Linked DNA regions of Caenorhabditis elegans. The protein of the gene in region 1 purifies or fractionates together with the protein of each later gene. This does not show direct contact. Each region holds a gene or a part of one and is shown in the gene's direction. Other genes may lie near its edges.

Region 1 (8,404 bases):
CACTTTCTTCATGACCGGACAGATTTCTTCATCTCAACATCGGTAAAGCCTGGACTGGTACTTTAAATATTCTATGACCTTTTCAGCTTCACCATTTCATTCTACAATACGATCACCAGATTCTACCCACTTTATGTCGAAGTTAGGAATTTCATCGGCAGCGGCCAGACAGCGCTTAATATGTACACATACAATGGTAACACACGGATTAAAGTGCAAACGGAGAAAAGTCCGTATACGTATGGAGAAACGTTCAAGATTTACGTAAATTCTTCTTATACCGAAGCGTTTATTTACTTGGATAACAACGCGATCATCACTCATGAACTGGTGGAAGGTTATAATATGACAGATATCGATTCATTTGTTATTAATATAACAAATGAATCGACAGAAGTGGCGTTAGACTTTCTGGGATGGACCGGAGATTGTTGGGTGAGAAACTAAGAAATTTGATCTACTGACCAATAGTACACTTAATTTTCAGTTCGAGCCAATTCCAGCAACACCTCCCGTGCAGCCTGAGCTCTAAGTCATGAATTACATATAATTGTCATCCTACTGCTTATTTCACTATGTTAGAATAAAGCATTGTTAATATAACAAAAACTTTTTGGATTTGCCCGTTTTCTCTTTGATTTTATCTATACCTGCCTCAAATCTTAACTCAAGTATAAAATATTGCGCAAGCAGAGATGATTAGCGCATTTCTCGTGTCCGACGCTGGCGCGAAACTAGTTTTGCTCGAAGCGGCGTATTGATTCGCTGCTCATTGCGCCAGATTTATAGTTTTTAGCAGTGGTGTGCGGCAAATTTGCCGTTTGCCGAGCTCGGCAAATTTCGAAAAAGTAGATTTGCCAAATTTTCCGAGCTCTGCAAATTTCGAAATTTGCCGCACACGTCAAAAACTTTGCAGTACAATTCTGACCAAAACTATTGATTGCCGCTGAAAGTTTAGTAAAATGACACGAAATTGAGTTATTTAGATGCTTGAGCAAACATACTACATGGAACTTATTCTGAAACCAGATGTGTGTTAAGAAATCAGTAGTTTTGGTGCTCCAAAAAGCATAAAAAATACCAAAATTTTCGGAGTTTGTTAAGCACGGTAAATTTGCCGAATCTGTCGAGCTCGGCAAATATTGGAAAAAGAGATTTGCCGAATTTGAGATTTTTTTGAGAATTTTGACCCCTGGTTTTTAGCCAGGTTAGCTTATTTTTTATTGATTGTTCTTGGCTCCGAAGATCAGCTTTTTTTTATAGAATGTTTTCCGGTTTCATGATGATTCGAACCGGATTTCTTGACTCTTGTTTTTTTCTAAAGCTTTTCGCAATAAAAGGTTTGTGAGTTTGAAAACCGGGGGTTTTATTTCGGGGCGATCGCCAGGCTTGAACAGGCGAATTCCTAACTAGTTCTGTGATTTTAGGTGACGTTAGCTGAAGGATGTTCAATTTTTTTTCAAATGCATTTGGCTTAGTGCTCTTTCGAACTTTTTGTCTAACTTTCTAGTGTGTTCTTTCAATTTTCCAGGAAAAAAACATCATTTTTCAGTGACAGATCGCCTAGTAACATGCACGGCTCCATTTTTGCAGCTCCTTGCATCAGGAACCAGTTCACTCGTCATGTAGCTTTCGGTCTTCCTGTTCCTTTTTCCAATTCAAACTTTGATTTTGGTAGTTTTACCTGAGCAAACTGAGCATCTGAAAATGATTTTTTTTGAATTTGTTTCACGCGGTTTTGGCTACCCTCATACATTAAAAAAAAAAAATTAAAAAATTAAATTTGTTTTGAGGCATTGAAAAAATATCTTTAAACTAATACAATCACTCTCTAACTGAACAGATTTCCGCAATTTTCAACAATTCATTCCATTTTTATTCGCCAAAAATCATAATTTCTCTTTTTTCAATATTTGAATTCAATAACTTTCCTCCAAAAAGAAAGTGTGCATTGTGTCGTCAAATGCGGTATTCTGGTACCATGAACCCAAGACTTGACGCGCAAAACTACACGTGTTGTGCAGTTTTTTGCGTTGAAATTTTCGGAATAAATCTAAAAATTTCAGTTTTCCGGCTAAAATGATCGAACTTTTTTCGATTTTCACGAAAGGAGGCGTCTGCCTGTGGAATTATCAGGTAATTTATTGGAAAAAACTGGGTAAAATTGGTTTTTGCCTCAAAAAACTTCAAAATCATCGGAAATCCTCGATTTTTAACATTCTCCGCATCAGAAAATCGATAAAAATTCAGTTTTCAGTGTTTTAAATGCCCATTTTACAGGAAGGCGATTATAACTTCACGGAAGCCATCAATAATGAGCTGATTAAGGGAACACTGATGGAAGAACGTGGAAATAGTGGACAGAAAAAAGTTGGAAATTATACAATGAAATTTCAGCTTGATAATGAGTATAATGTCATTTTTTTGGTAGAAAAACCATATTTTTTCCTCAAAAAATCAATAAAAATTGCAGGTAATTTATCAAACAATTGTGAATTTAAATTATGCGGAAAAACTGCTCAATTTGGTCGTTGATAGCTTTCGAGGAGAGTTTTCCGAGAATTTGAGAGAAGAAACAGTGAGTTTTCGTTAAAAAATTGAACAAAAATCTCTATTTTTCCACCAAAAACCGAGTTTTTGACAAAAAAAAAATCGATTTTTGGTTCAAAATTAGCTGAAAACACAATTTTTATTGATAAAAATCGTAAAATTATGGAAATTAAGCTGTAGAAGCGTAATTTCTCGAAAAAAAAAGTGCCAAAAACCTTGAATTTCAATTAAAAAATTTTTTGCTAAAAAATTCGAAAAATTCTCATTTCTGCTGTAAAAGTCAAAAAACTTCAATTTTTTGGTAGAAAAATGCTGAAAATCTCAAATTTCACCTTAAAACAGTCATTTTTTTAATTAAAAATTTTTCCGCAAAAAAAATTTCTGAAACCCCCATTTTTCTCTCAAAAGTCCCAAAAATCTCAAATTTCAGCTAAAAACTGCAATTTTCGTGGAAAATTTTTTTAAAAACTTCATTTTTGTCAGAAAAGTCCCAAAAATCTCAAATTTCAGCTAAAAAGATGATATTTTTTCTAAAAAAATGCTCAAAATTCAATTTTCCATCTAAAAACACCACTTTTGCGCGCGGAAAAGTGGCATTTTAGCTGAGAAAAACTAATTTTTTGCGAAAAAAGCTTAAGAATCTATTTTTCCAGGCTCTAACCACTCCTCCGTCGAATATCTACGGAAATTTCGACGAAACCTTTCACGAAGTGCTCTCAGAAGCTGCAAAAAGTGCTCGTGCCACTGAAAACACCGTCAAAAAGCCGAAAACGTTCCAAGAATCTGCAAAATCTCAAAAAACCATCGATTCGCTGATTGTGAGCCGCCCGGGACAGAAAAACGCCGAAAAATCCGCGAAAAACGCTGAAAAAACGCCGAAAAAGCCGGTGGAAAGTGCCGAAGAATCGTCTGCAACTGATTATAATTCAGCATCACCACCTGGAAGCCCGGATGAAGAAGTTTTACGTAGAAGGGATCAAATGTTCAAGAAAATGAGTGGAAATACGAAGAAAAAAGGCCCAGAAGAGCCTACTTCACCTAAGCCCAAGGGAAAACAAGCTAGAGTTTGGGCTTTGAGTGGAAAACCGGCTGACGTCAAAAATCTCGATAGATCCGATCCGAAAGAGGTAGAAATTCGACGAAATTCGCTGAAAAATTGAAGAAAATTAGCTAGTTTTCACCGAAACCGGCGAAAAATCCTCAAAAATTAACTAAAGTCGCTTAAAAATTCCGAGAAATAAGGCTTAAGCTCAGGCTTAGGCTTAAGCTTAGGCTTTAGGCCTAGGTTTAGGCTTAGGCTTAACCCTCGAAACTGAAGAAAATTGGCTAATTTTCACGTAAAATTGCGAAAATTTGAAAAAAAATTGAAAAATTGTTGAAAATCATCAAAAAGTAGCTAAAATTCGTCTTAAAATTCGAAAATATTAGGCTTAAGCTTAGGCTTAGGGCTATGCTCAATCTTAGGCTTAGGCTTAAACTCAGGCTTAAGCTTAGGGGGGACTGAAAAAAAATAGTCTGAAAATTCCGAAAAATCTGAAAAATTGCGAAAAAGCCTTAAAAATTAGCTGAATTTTGTCTTGAAACCCCCTAAAAATTAGGCTTGGCTTAGGCTTATGCTTAGGCTCAGACTTAGGCCTATGCTCAAGCTTAGGCTTAGGCTTAAACTCAGGCTTAAGCATAGGCCGGCCTGGAGAAAACACATGAGTCTAAAATTCCCAAAAATTTCGAAAATGCCTTAAAAATTAGCTGAATTTTGTCTTGAAAACCCCGAAAAAATTAGGCTTAGGTGTAGGCTTAAGCTGAAGCTTAGGATCAGGCTTAGGCTTAGGCGTAGGCCTATGCTCAAGCTTTGGTTCAGGCTTAAACTCAGGCTTAAGCTTAGAGAGACTGTAAAAAAAAGTCTAAAAATTCCCAAAATTTCGAAAAAGCCTTAAAAATTAGCTGAATTTTGTCTTGAAAACCCCGAAAAATTAGGCTTAGGTGTAGGCTTAGGCTTGGCCTTAGGCTTAAAATCAGGCTTAAAATCAGGCTTAAGCTTAGGCCGGTCTGGAGAAAATAAGAGTCTAAAATTCCCAAAAATTTCGAAAAATCTGAAATTTCGGTTCAATTATTACAGTTATTACAGCTAAAAATCCGGTCATTTATTCAATTTTACCCAAATTTTTTTCCAGAATGACGAAAATGCCGCCGATGAGGAGAAAAATCGCTTCGTTGAGAGTATGAAGGAACAAATTGGAACACTTAAAGGAGATTTAAAGTCACTTCAGGAGTCTGATGATGAAGATGAAGATGATAATGATCAGCAGTAAGAAAATTGACTGAAAATCTCGAAAAATAAACAAAAAAATGAATTTTTACCCGAAAAATTCATCAATTTTCACATTTTTTTCGTGAAAATCCGAATGTTTGGATTAAAAAACATGAAAATATCGTTGAAATGGATCACATTTTCGTCTGAAAAATAAGAAAATAACTTGAAAAATTTGAATTTGGATTATTAAAAACGGTCGAACAAACTTTTAAAGTGGAAAATTTTTTCTTTTTTAATTTTTTTTCTTTTTTAATTGAAAAATTGCGGAAAAATCAGAGTTCAGCTAATTTTCTTTAAATTTTCCATCATCAAATCCCACTATTTTCATGAAAAAAAATCGTGTTTTTTTGCCGATTTTCCCTTAGTTTTCTCTAAAATCCAGTAATTTTCAGAGTTGTAAAGCAGTCTGGCGGATGGTTCAGTATGATTAAAGGACTTGTTGGAGAGAAGAAGCTTAGCGCTGAAGATCTGAATCCATTAATTGAAAAAATGAGAGAAAATTTGATTTGTGAGTTTGGAAAACTGAAAAAAAAAATCATATAAATAATCAAATTTTTAAACAAAATTCAAAAGAAAAATTAATATTGGAAAATCAATAAATTATTGGTTTTCAATAAAATTATCAATTTCTCCCCGTAAGCCGAAAAATATTCAAATTTTTCCATGAAACAAATTGATTTTTTTTGTGGAAAAACATCTGAAATAGCTCAAAAAAAACTTTTTATCATCGATTTTGAGATAAAATCTCAAAATTATTTTAAAAAATCGATAAAATATCATCGATTATTACAAAAAAATCCGAAAACAATGAAATTTGTACCAAAAAGTCTCGAAAAAAATCCAATTTCGTGCGAAAAATTGATAATTTATCGATTTTTCCTTTTTTTCCTTGCGAAAAAAATTGCCAATTTTTCGCAAAAATCCATAATTTATCGATTTTTTGAGCGATTTTTGATGCTTTGAAAAAAAAAAAACAGAAAATCGATATTTTAGTGAATTTATCGTGTAAAATTCGATTATTTCTCGGCTTATGGGGAAAAATCGATAAATTATCAATTTTTGCAGAAAAAAGGCACAAAAAATTACCATCGTGCGAAAAATCGACTATCGATTTCACACGCAATAAACTGTAGAAAATTAGTGAAAATCTCTCAAGATTCGCTTCTTCAAAAAATCAATAAATTATCGATTTTCAGTGAAAAACGTTGCTTCGGAGCCAGCGGAGAAGATCTGTCAATCAGTTGTGTCAAAATTGGAGGGAAAAGTGGTGAATAACTTTTCTCGAGTTGCTCAAGAAGTTAAAACTGCCGTCCGCGAGTCCCTTGTCCAACTTTTGACCCCGAAACATCGTGTAGACATTCTTCGTGACGTCATCGAAGCGAAACGGGACGGTCGACCCTATGTCATTGTGTTCTGTGGAGTTAATGGAGTTGGAAAATCGACAAATCTCGCGAAAATTACATTTTGGCTCACTGAGAACAAGCATCGCGTGCTCATTGCAGGTAAAAACCCGTAAAATCCGCGGAAAAAAATTGAAAAAACCACAAAAAATGTGCAAAAAAAACTTGCAAAACCGAAAAATTTCAATAATCATAAAAATTTGAAAAAAAAAATGTTTAAAACTGAAAAATTCTGAAAAAAATTACGAATTTTGACTGAAAACACTTTTTTTTCAAATTTTTTAATTTTTTAACCGAAAATTTTGTCGAAAAATCCGCCAATTACGGTAAAAAACGTTGAAAATCTTGAAAAAATAAAATATTGTCTAATTTTTTTTTCGAATTTTACTCAAATTTCAATTTTCAACGAATTTGTATTTTTCCCAGAAATTTAGTGAAAAATCTGAAAAATTCATGAAATTTGAATGAAAACACTCGAAAATCCTGGAAAAAAGAGTTAATTTTGCAGAAAATTCTGTCGAAAAATTGAAAAAAAGTCACAAAATTTTTTTTTGAGGTGGAAATTGTGAATTTATCAATTTTATCTAAAAAAAATTTATCGATTTTTCTAAAACTTTATCGATTTCTCTGAAATTTAATCGATTTTTCTCCAAAAATTATCGATTTTCTTACAGCCGGTGACACATTCCGTGCGGGAGCCGTCGAACAACTGAGAACCCATGCTCGATATCTCAACGATCTTCATAAAAACTCTGTGCTCCTCCACGAACAGGGTTACGGTAAAGACCCGGCGGGTCTCGCAGCGGCCGCCATCAAAAAGGCTGCTGAACAAGATTTCGATGTGGTTTTGGTGGATACTGCCGGCCGAATGCAGGATAATGAACCGCTGATGAGAGAGTTGGCCAAGGTAATTCAAATTTTTTTTTTGAAATGTCGAATTCTCCGCTAAATTCTACCCCTACCACATTATTTCTGGGGTTTGTAGCTCAATTTTGAAGTATTTCGGCTTACTGTAGCCCCAAAAGTACGCAAACATCCGAAACACCACATTTTACGCGATTTTGAGATAGAGCTCTGAAAATTCATGGCTAGATGTAGAAAATAGCATAGATTTCGAATTACGCTGTAATATCGCAGAGAAAAATACTTGAGTTACTGAAAATATCTATTTTCTGACCGAAATATTTCAAATGGCTAGTTTTTACCTGAGAATTCGAATTCTCCGCTAAATTTCACCCCCGGCACAATTTTTTTTTGTGATTTTGGCTCAATTTCGACAATTTTGGGTTACTGTAGCCCCGAAAGTACGCAAACACCGACTACCGTAACCCGAAACACCGGATTTTACGCAATTTTGAGCTAGAATTCCCAAAATTCTGAGTTAATTTGCAGAAAATTGCAAGGATTTCAAATGTTCTAGTGAATTCCCCGAGAAAATGTTTTAAACCACTGAAAATCCCGTTTTTCTAGCCTTAATACTTCAAATGGCTAGTTTTTATATCAAAATTCAAATTCCCCGCTGAATTTCACCCCTCGCATATTGTTTCTGAAGTGTGTAGCTCAATTTCGACAATTTCGGGGTACTGTAGCCCCAAAAGTACGCAAACACCAACTACAGTAACCCGAAACACCGGATTTTACGCGATTTTGAGATAGAGCTCTGAAAACTTGGGGTTAAATGCAGAAAATAGCAAGGATTTCGAATTTTCTAGTGAATTCCTCGAGAAAATGTTTCAAACCACTGAAAATTGCGATTTTGTTGCAGCTAATCCGAGTGAATGAGCCCGACTTGGTGTTGTTTGTCGGCGAGGCGCTTGTCGGAAATGAGGCAGTCGATCAACTGGTGAAATTCAATGAAGCTCTGGCAAATCACGCTTCACCCGGGCAAAAGCCCCGTCTAATCGATGGAATTGTGCTCACAAAGTTTGATACAATTGATGATAAAGTTGGAGCAGCTGTATCAATGACATATATCACTGGACAACCGATTGTATTCGTTGGATGTGGTCAAACGTATTCGGATCTGAGGAATTTGAATGTTGGAGCCGTCGTTCATTCGCTTTTAAACTAGATTTTTTGCTTTTTCTGGAGAATTTTTGATGAAAAATGGGTTTTTCGCGGGGAAAAATGGATAAAAATCGAT
Region 2 (4,836 bases), on another chromosome or scaffold:
CAAGAAGTACACTGCGAAACTAAATAGCGACAACCGATTCACCAGTTTTCAATTTATTCTCCCAAATCCCGAGTGTTCTGCATGCTCTTTCATTTACATTTAATGCTCTCGAGGTCCATATTAATGTTTCTACTCTGGTCGCAAAGCTAATAAGCTTTTATCCGTCAGTTATGCTCCCATGCGTATGCGTTTCGCTAGATTTTCATCTTTTGATCTCTACATCTTAACTGAGAAGTAGTCCCAGTGGTCAAAGTATATATGAATGAAACAGCATGCGTGTGGAAATTGTTATTCAATTCATCGTTGTAATTTCATCAACAAAGAAATTAACAAAAATTGTCTCTGTTACCGCTTTTTAATTTATTTATCAACCTTGGTAGGTCTCCACAATCCAGTTTTGTTCTTTTCTTTTTATCGTTTGTGTTTTATATCTTTTTGCAAAAGATATAGAGATAAATGCATGCTCGACAGTATAATTCTTATATTCAACGTTTCTGGACGACGTGGGAATTTTCCCATGCTACTGATGAAGTCTGAAGTGCATAGAAGAAATAGCACGAGTGACCTTTTGCTTTCTGGACATTATTGCATGCAAACTACTACTTTTTGCTTACTTCACACTATTTCGACACTACTATTATTGGTTTTCTCAATCATCAAATGTGTTTTCAAAGAATTTTGAAACATATCCAGATAGAAACTGTAAAAAGGTCTAATGCTCTTTAAGAACTGCCGTTTTAAAATGATCAAAGTTTACTTTTTGAAGTAAATTCTGAAAACGCCTCGCGATATCGTGTAATTTGATCGTTTGTTCATTATATTTTTTATTAAGAAAACTCCCCATCACCTCCTATTTCATCCTTCTCGGAGTTTTCTTAGAAGAAAAAGAAAATGGAAAAAGCGTGTGAATGTTTCTATTAGATGACAGGAGATCCATTTTTTACATCCTTCAATTTTTGCAACAAGATTCCACTTCAAAGAATGAAATGTTTCATTAATAAGTGCAGTTTCAAAAGATCAAAATAATACCAGCCGGTTAGTTGTTGCATTTGCTATTTTTACAAAACAAGAACACTAAGTATATATCGAAACGTGCAAGTACTTTTCATTGGTTTAATCCGGTGAGTGGGGCGTTTTCGTGTTTTGTTTAACTCATGACTCATAAAGGTTATTCAGGATAAACTATTCCTAATTACCTATAATAGATGTACATGTAAATGCTTTTCCATGTTTGGAGTTTATCGTGCTTGATCTAGAAAATAACAATTTTTTGAAATAACTCTGTCTGAGTTCCTAAAAAGTTTAATTTATACTTTCGGGAAAAATACGAAGTGGTTTACCTTTTATCATCAAAAATGTCCCAGTTTCTAATAAATGGATATCATCTCTTCTTTTCCCATTGTAAATTTTCCAGCTCACCGACATTTGCATAATGCAATTATGTCATACTGAGCGGTTATTGTTGTTTTATTATCTTATCGTGGATTCATTCTCTCCTTACTTGCTCACTTCATTTTTATAAATCTGTCTCGTTGCAGCTGCTCTATAAGATACAACAACGGGATATTCTTCTATCTCTTGCTCGTTGTGTTGCGTGTTCTGTTTGTTTCCTCATTGCTTCCTTAGAATGTTCATTCAATGGCTCATTAGATGTGTGCCAACCTTTAAGAAATGCCAGCTGATTGTGCATTCGTTCCGCTACACAACATGTACTTAGACATGTGTCGTCTATCTCTCCCTATCTTATAACATTTTCTTTATCTCCTTATCTCCTTCTGTTTAAAAGTCCAACTATCATTTGGAGTTTGGTGTCAAAACCAGCAGAAACAGATGATAGAAAAATATTTTGTTTCCGTGCCAATAGTCATTGATAGTTTAAAATATTTCTTTCCTGTGATATAGTTTTCCCTTTTCTGCGTTCTCTCGTTATTGTCTACACTCTCATTTAACTCATAGTCGATGTTTCAGATGGCTGATCGCAACTCTATTGGCGAAAATGCTGCCGCGCTTATTGGCAACACACCCATGGTGTACATCAATAAATTGACAAAAGGACTTCCAGGGACAGTTGGTTGGTTTATTCATTTGAATTAAACGAAATCTTAAAAAATGTTTTGAACAATACTGGTGAAACTTTGAATTTTTTTGTTTCTTTTATGCAATACCACTGTAACCGAGTTTTGTAACTTCTCAACAAAATATAACTTTGACAAATAGTCTCACTTAAAAGAAAGTACGAAAAATAGTAAAACCAGAACGTAGATAAAATTGAATTTTACAAATCAAAAATGTTTTGAATTTTCAAGAAGAAACAAAAGTCCAATTATCCTATTATAATTTTCAAGTTTACAGCTGTAAAAATCGAATACATGAATCCAGCGGGATCGGTCAAAGATCGTATTGGAGCGGCAATGCTTGCAGCGGCCGAAAAAGATGGAACGGTGCTTCATCAACAATACCATTGTTCAAAAAATTGCATTAAAATTTTTTAAGGTGATCCCGGGAGTGACCACGCTCATTGAGCCAACATCAGGAAACACTGGAATCGCATTGGCTTTTGTTGCTGCCGCCAAGGGGTATAGATGTATTGTCACAATGCCAGCATCTATGAGTGGAGAACGCGTGAGTATTGATCTTATGGATGCAAATCTTCACCCCAGGAATTGCCAGTACTGAAACCTTTTTTTTTAGCTATTGAGTACAGTTGTGTCATCTGTGATTTTAAACAAATCTCCGGGTTGAAAATTTTTTAACATATAAAATATATATCTTACAGAGAACTCTTCTCAAAGCATATGGATCCGAGGTGGTCTTGACAGACCCAGCGAAAGGAATGAAAGGAGCGATTGACATGGCTAACCAGCTGAAGGAAAACATTCCAGGGTCTATCATTCTTGCTCAATTTGACAACCCAAATAATCCACTTGTTCACTATCAAACAACTGGACCAGAAATTTGGAGACAAACCAAAGGGACAGTAGACGCTGTTGTTTTTGGGGTTGGAACTGGTGGAACAATTACCGGAGTTGGCAGATACTTGCAAGAGCAGAATCCAGGTGTCCGCGTGTTTGCTGTGGAGCCAGAAGAATCCGCTATACTCAGCGGCAGACCAGCCGGTCCACACAAAATTCAAGGCATTGGAGCAGGGTTTGCTCCAGCTGTTTTGGACACAAAGATCTATGAAGACGTAATTCGAATTCATTCCGATGAGGCTATTGTCATGGCTCAAAGACTTTCCTATGAAGAAGGTCTTCTTGGCGGTAGGTTGTGTGACTGTGTTTGCTTTGATAGTTTGAAAGAAGTATGTTTTTAAAATTCTATATTTTAGGAATTTCCTCCGGAGCTAATGTTGCAGCTGCACTTCAGTTGGCTGCTCGCCCAGAAATGGCTGGAAAGCTCATTGTGACTTGTTTGCCAAGCTGTGGAGAACGATACATGTAAGATGACTGACTTAAAATGTTACTTGTGATGTGAGCTAGTAGTTTGCATCTGATTCCTCGGATGTTGAGTATTTCTGATAGAAAGTTAAACAACTATTGAATCTTTAACGTAGTAATCATGTACAATTTACTGTGATTGATCTTAAAAACCATTTTTCCAGGACCTCTCCTTTGTACACCGACATCCGCGAAAGCGCTATGGCTCTGGCAGTCGAAAGCTTGGAGGCAAACTTGAAGAAGTTATGTCTTCACAACTATGATATTATGGAGTGATTTAAATCAAAAATTCATCTCACTTTTTTCTTTTTTCTTTCATTTAAATTCTTTCACCCAAAAATTATCAAGGTTGTTACTCACTAAAAATGATAAATCGGCTGGTAATTCAATCAAAAAACCTACACATTATAATAATTTGCATTCTTTCGTATTTTTTCCATGTAAATGTTCCGCTGTCTATTTTTTCAATAAATGCAATTAGTGTTTTGTACTGTGATCTAAGATAGCTTGTATGCTTTGAACCCGCAGACACTAAGATTGGTGTTGAACTGACGAAACTGGGAGGATAACCGACTTTTTTAAAAACAATTAAACCATTAGCACAGTGAGGCATGAAATAGGCTTGTCGATGTCTCATGAAAAGGTCAGTGCAGATAGAAACACTGACCCTAATAAGGAGGAATGAAACCTGGTTTGGCTAATCGCCAGAAAAATTCTTTCACCGATAGTGGTGGCCAACGAGACAAACGCTGCATGTGGTTTCAAGCGAGAAGTTCAATTTAATTAGTAGTATGGATATTTAACGCGATCTTTATCAAATCGGAAAACTATACCACGGAGGTCTGGTTTGATGGTTTCACTATGAAATTATTTGAGCGGAAAGTTCACAGTTTTCTAGCTGACTCCTTTGAACATGTTCAGTTGAATTGACATAAACTTAAATGGTTCACGTACCCATCTTTTTGGAAAAGAGTAATGGAAAAGTTCTAGTAGCATATTTGCGAAATTAAAACAATCCTAATAAGGGCTACTGAATGATATTTCTGGTAATTTAAAAAGTTGAGAGCAACTGTATAAACCTTAAAAACAAACACTGGCATAGCGCAAATATTGTAGGAGGCAAGTCGTAAAAAGGGTTTCCTGTGATACTACAGTTTTACCACTACAAATTTTTTTCAAAAATTATTTTTCTTTGATGGTACTCACTGTTTGAATAGGGGATTGTTTGAAAGAAAACTACTTCTTAGAATTCAATTGTGATTGTATAAGAGTTTCCTATGAAAATCTTATTTTGTAACAAAACATTCTCACTACAATAGAGTTTCTTGAGTTTTAAGGCTGTACACAATACTTCAACCTTGTATAATCTTGTGGGCTCTCATTCTGTATTAGGGTAGTC
Region 3 (3,205 bases), 180 kb from region 1:
TTCCTACTTTTCCCAGCCAAATCGCTTGATGACTGGCGCTGAGCACTTGTTGTGGCCGTCTAGAGAAGAGCCCGAGTGAAGAGCCCAACAGCTTCCAGATAGTTTGAAGGGATTTGACGGTAGTTTTTTCCAATTGCAGGGAGGGAGCAGGGCCTGAAAATATTGAAAATTAAGGGTATATCATAAAATTCTGATTTTTAGAGAAAAAATCCCGCACCTTTCACAACTTTCAGACTGGATTTCTTCTCTTTCGTCTGATTTTTGACTTCTCCCTCAAACGAGACTCCACGGCTTGCGCCGACCTTTGCGAGAGCCCGAGCCCACGGCAAATCCACGTCCCGCACTGTCAGCGTGGCGTTTTTCAGCTGCTCCTGCGGCTCGTAGGCCACAAGGGAGGTTGGGAGATTCACGGTGAGAGTCAGATTGGTCTCCCACGTCTTTCGGTCGTCCTGGACGGTCCATGGAGTCGAATTTACGGTCTTTTTCGCGGATTTCTGTGGTGGAGCCTCTCCGGAAGCCAATTTCTTTACGGCTTCTGCCTTGGCAGCCTTGCGAGCCTCCTTCTTGGCGTCCTTGTCTAGTTTTGCGGGGGCTCCGGGGACTCCGGGAGCTGAAGAGGCTGCTCCAGCGGATTTCTCAGGCTCTTTTGGCGCTTTTTCCGCAGGTTTTTGAGCAGATCTCTCTGCTTTTCCAGCCTCTCCAAGGCTTACCAGCAACTTCTTGAGCTCTTCGGTCTGTGCTTTGAGCTGCTCGATCAGTGAGAGCTGTTTGTGCTCCAAAGCCTTGCGCGGATCGGATTCTACCTGAAATTTCAGTTTTTTTTGAGCCAAAATCCGTCTATTACCTGCACCGCATCAGAAGGCCCGACTCCTCCGAAAGATGGATTATGATACGAACCTACTGGATAGCAGGCGATTTTCGGATGAACCTCAAAATTCGGTGGGAACGTCGGTGTCAGCTTGTACATTGGCATCGCGTGATTTACCCTGGAAAATCCTATTTTATACGAAATCTTGAGATTTTTGAGATTTTCAGAGCAATCGAGAGATTGTAAGATGGAATTTCGAGAATCTAAAATTTTTCAGAAGCGTTAAAGGCACCAAAAAACATGAAATATGCTTGAAAAACTGGGAAAACCATCAAATTTCTGGAAAAAAAATTTAGAGTTTAAAACAACGATGCTCCGAATTAACAAGTGCGTGTTATTTATTTTTAGTGAATTTTTGGTATAAAATCAGCATTTTTACATGATTTATGTAATTTTTGCGGGAAATAGACGAAAAATTACCGGTTTTTACTGAATTTTGATATAAAATAGCTTGAAAACAGCTAAAAAACCCAAAAATCAGAAATAAAAGCAAATGTGGATTTACGATAAAGAAGGCGCACAACGTGATATCGGAGTGTCGTTGGGAGGAAAATTATTTATTTTAATTATATATTTTTTTTCTCATTTTCAAGCGATTTTTTAGCTTTTTCCAGTGGTTTTTTAATTCTATCTTTTGCATAAATTTATCGTAATCTCATATTCAGCGTTTTCCCACGAAATTCCTTCCTTTTTCAGCTCAAAACCAGAAATGCCGTTCATGCACGGGTCCATGCCGCTTCGGCGGACATTCTTCTATCTCCAGCAGGGAAAAGTGAAGCTTCGCGACAACGTCAACGTGTTCTCGATGGGTTTTCATAAAAATCCGACGCCCGAGCAGTCTGGAGCACGAGATTTCGTCTACTGGAACTGGGCGCAGCTTCAATATCACAATCCAAAAGTTCAGCTCGTTAAGCATGCCGATAAAGTTGTGACGCCCTTTGCCAGAGCATATCTGAGTAAGTTTCAAGCTGAAAATCCACAAAATTCTACTAAAAAATGTTTCAGACGACGGCCGGGAAGTGCTATTCGACTTGGACGGCATGAAGCGCGAGGAAATCGAGAAATTATTGGCGAAAACGCTAGGAAAAACGGAATTAGTGGAGCGAAGAGAGCATTTGGAGAGTATTGCCAAGCTTAATCCCGCCGATTTCGGATCCAAAAATGAGCGACAGGTCTGAAAATTGCGCGAAAAATCGGCAAAAAATCGTTCATTTTTTCAGTGTATGTGCGAAGTTCAAGGCCAACATCCGTGCACGGGACTCCTGCGAGCACCGCAATGTGTCACCGGAAAATATCGATGGAATCATAATCTCATCTAATTTATATCGATTGATTTTTGTGTAAATTTCCTATTTCCCCCTATTTCTAGCTAGTTTTTGTGTCGATCTTCCTTGTTTTTTGTTGAAAAAACGATTTTTTTTTTCAGTTTTACAATCTTTTTGCCGCAATATTCACGACGAGAAGGTTCGAAGAAGTATAATCATGCCTGGGTTTCAAAAATTCTATATTTTGGGCCTAAATCGTCATGATTTGGCCTGAAATCGGCTCTAAAGTCTACAGTAACCCGATAAATTTCGCTGTGAGACCCAAGAAAGACATATTTTTGAAATCAGCGTGTCAAGCCAGTTTGAATGAGTTTACTCAAGCATAGGTTTTAAAATTTTTAAAATTTGAACGAAAATTGAACGACTTTGGCCTAAATTTAGCCTTTAAATCTACAGTAACCCAGCCAATTTCGCTGCGAGACCCATGAAACTTATATTTTTGAAATCAGCGTGGCAAGCCGGTTTGAATAAGTATAATCATGACTATTTTCGAAGAAACTTCTTTTCTTTCGAAAATTTCGTGACGAGACCCAAAATTTTTTTTTGAAAAATTAATATAACCGATAATATATGATTTATATGTGTATTAAATTACAATTATTTTGACCAGAAATCAATGTGTATACGGGGAACAACAACTTTTTTGACGAGAATTTTTTCAGGGATGGGGCAAGTTTGAAGGGACATAGGGCGGGAGTTACTGTAGGGCAAGGAAAATTTTTTAAATCGGGAGGAAAGGTGGGATAAATAGAGATCAAATTGGCAGATGTTTCGAAAAAAAAAGAAGAAAAAATCAATAAATTCGACCGGATTTCGACAAAAAACGGGGTGAAAGACATTTTGTGGGCGTGGCCAGTGTGAGAGTGGGCGGGGCCAAATTTACCGGACACGATTAAGCTGCTTGAGGACCACGAATAAGGGGGAGAGAAATTGTTTAAAATATGACAAAAAAGAAAAATAATAATAAAAAGGAAAATTTTTGAGTGAAAATTTGAATTTTTTCCGTTAAAAC

Evidence for each region.
Region 2: the proteins of F38A1.8 (region 1) and cysl-1 fractionate together in Caenorhabditis elegans (co-fractionation; one large-scale study listed by BioGRID). This does not show direct contact.
Region 3: the proteins of F38A1.8 (region 1) and mrps-25 fractionate together in Caenorhabditis elegans (co-fractionation; one large-scale study listed by BioGRID). This does not show direct contact.

The regions. Positions count from the first base shown.
Region 1 is NC_003282.8:1,233,460-1,241,863, reverse strand, and holds the start of F38A1.8 (SRP54-type proteins GTP-binding domain-containing protein), read left to right. Parts: upstream 1-2,011; 5' UTR 2,012-2,079; coding exon 2,080-2,136; intron 2,137-2,280; coding exon 2,281-2,427; intron 2,428-2,473; coding exon 2,474-2,578; intron 2,579-3,203; coding exon 3,204-3,677; intron 3,678-4,721; coding exon 4,722-4,855; intron 4,856-5,253; coding exon 5,254-5,369; intron 5,370-6,057; coding exon 6,058-6,363; intron 6,364-6,935; coding exon 6,936-7,168; intron 7,169-8,026; coding exon 8,027-8,332; 3' UTR 8,333-8,404. Other genes in the region: F38A1.15 (PAN-3 domain-containing protein), read left to right, coding at 1-42, 87-435, 488-532.
Region 2 is NC_003284.9:9,951,666-9,956,501, reverse strand, and holds cysl-1 (Cysteine synthase 1), read left to right. Parts: upstream 1-1,968; coding exon 1,969-2,071; intron 2,072-2,352; coding exon 2,353-2,441; intron 2,442-2,493; coding exon 2,494-2,622; intron 2,623-2,776; coding exon 2,777-3,260; intron 3,261-3,328; coding exon 3,329-3,437; intron 3,438-3,601; coding exon 3,602-3,713; 3' UTR 3,714-3,923; downstream 3,924-4,836.
Region 3 is NC_003282.8:1,055,328-1,058,532, forward strand, and holds mrps-25 (Small ribosomal subunit protein mS25), read left to right. Parts: upstream 1-1,564; 5' UTR 1,565-1,577; coding exon 1,578-1,824; intron 1,825-1,873; coding exon 1,874-2,040; intron 2,041-2,088; coding exon 2,089-2,187; 3' UTR 2,188-2,292; downstream 2,293-3,205. Other genes in the region: Y55F3AM.13 (FH2 domain-containing protein), read right to left, coding at 8-153, 218-803, 845-973.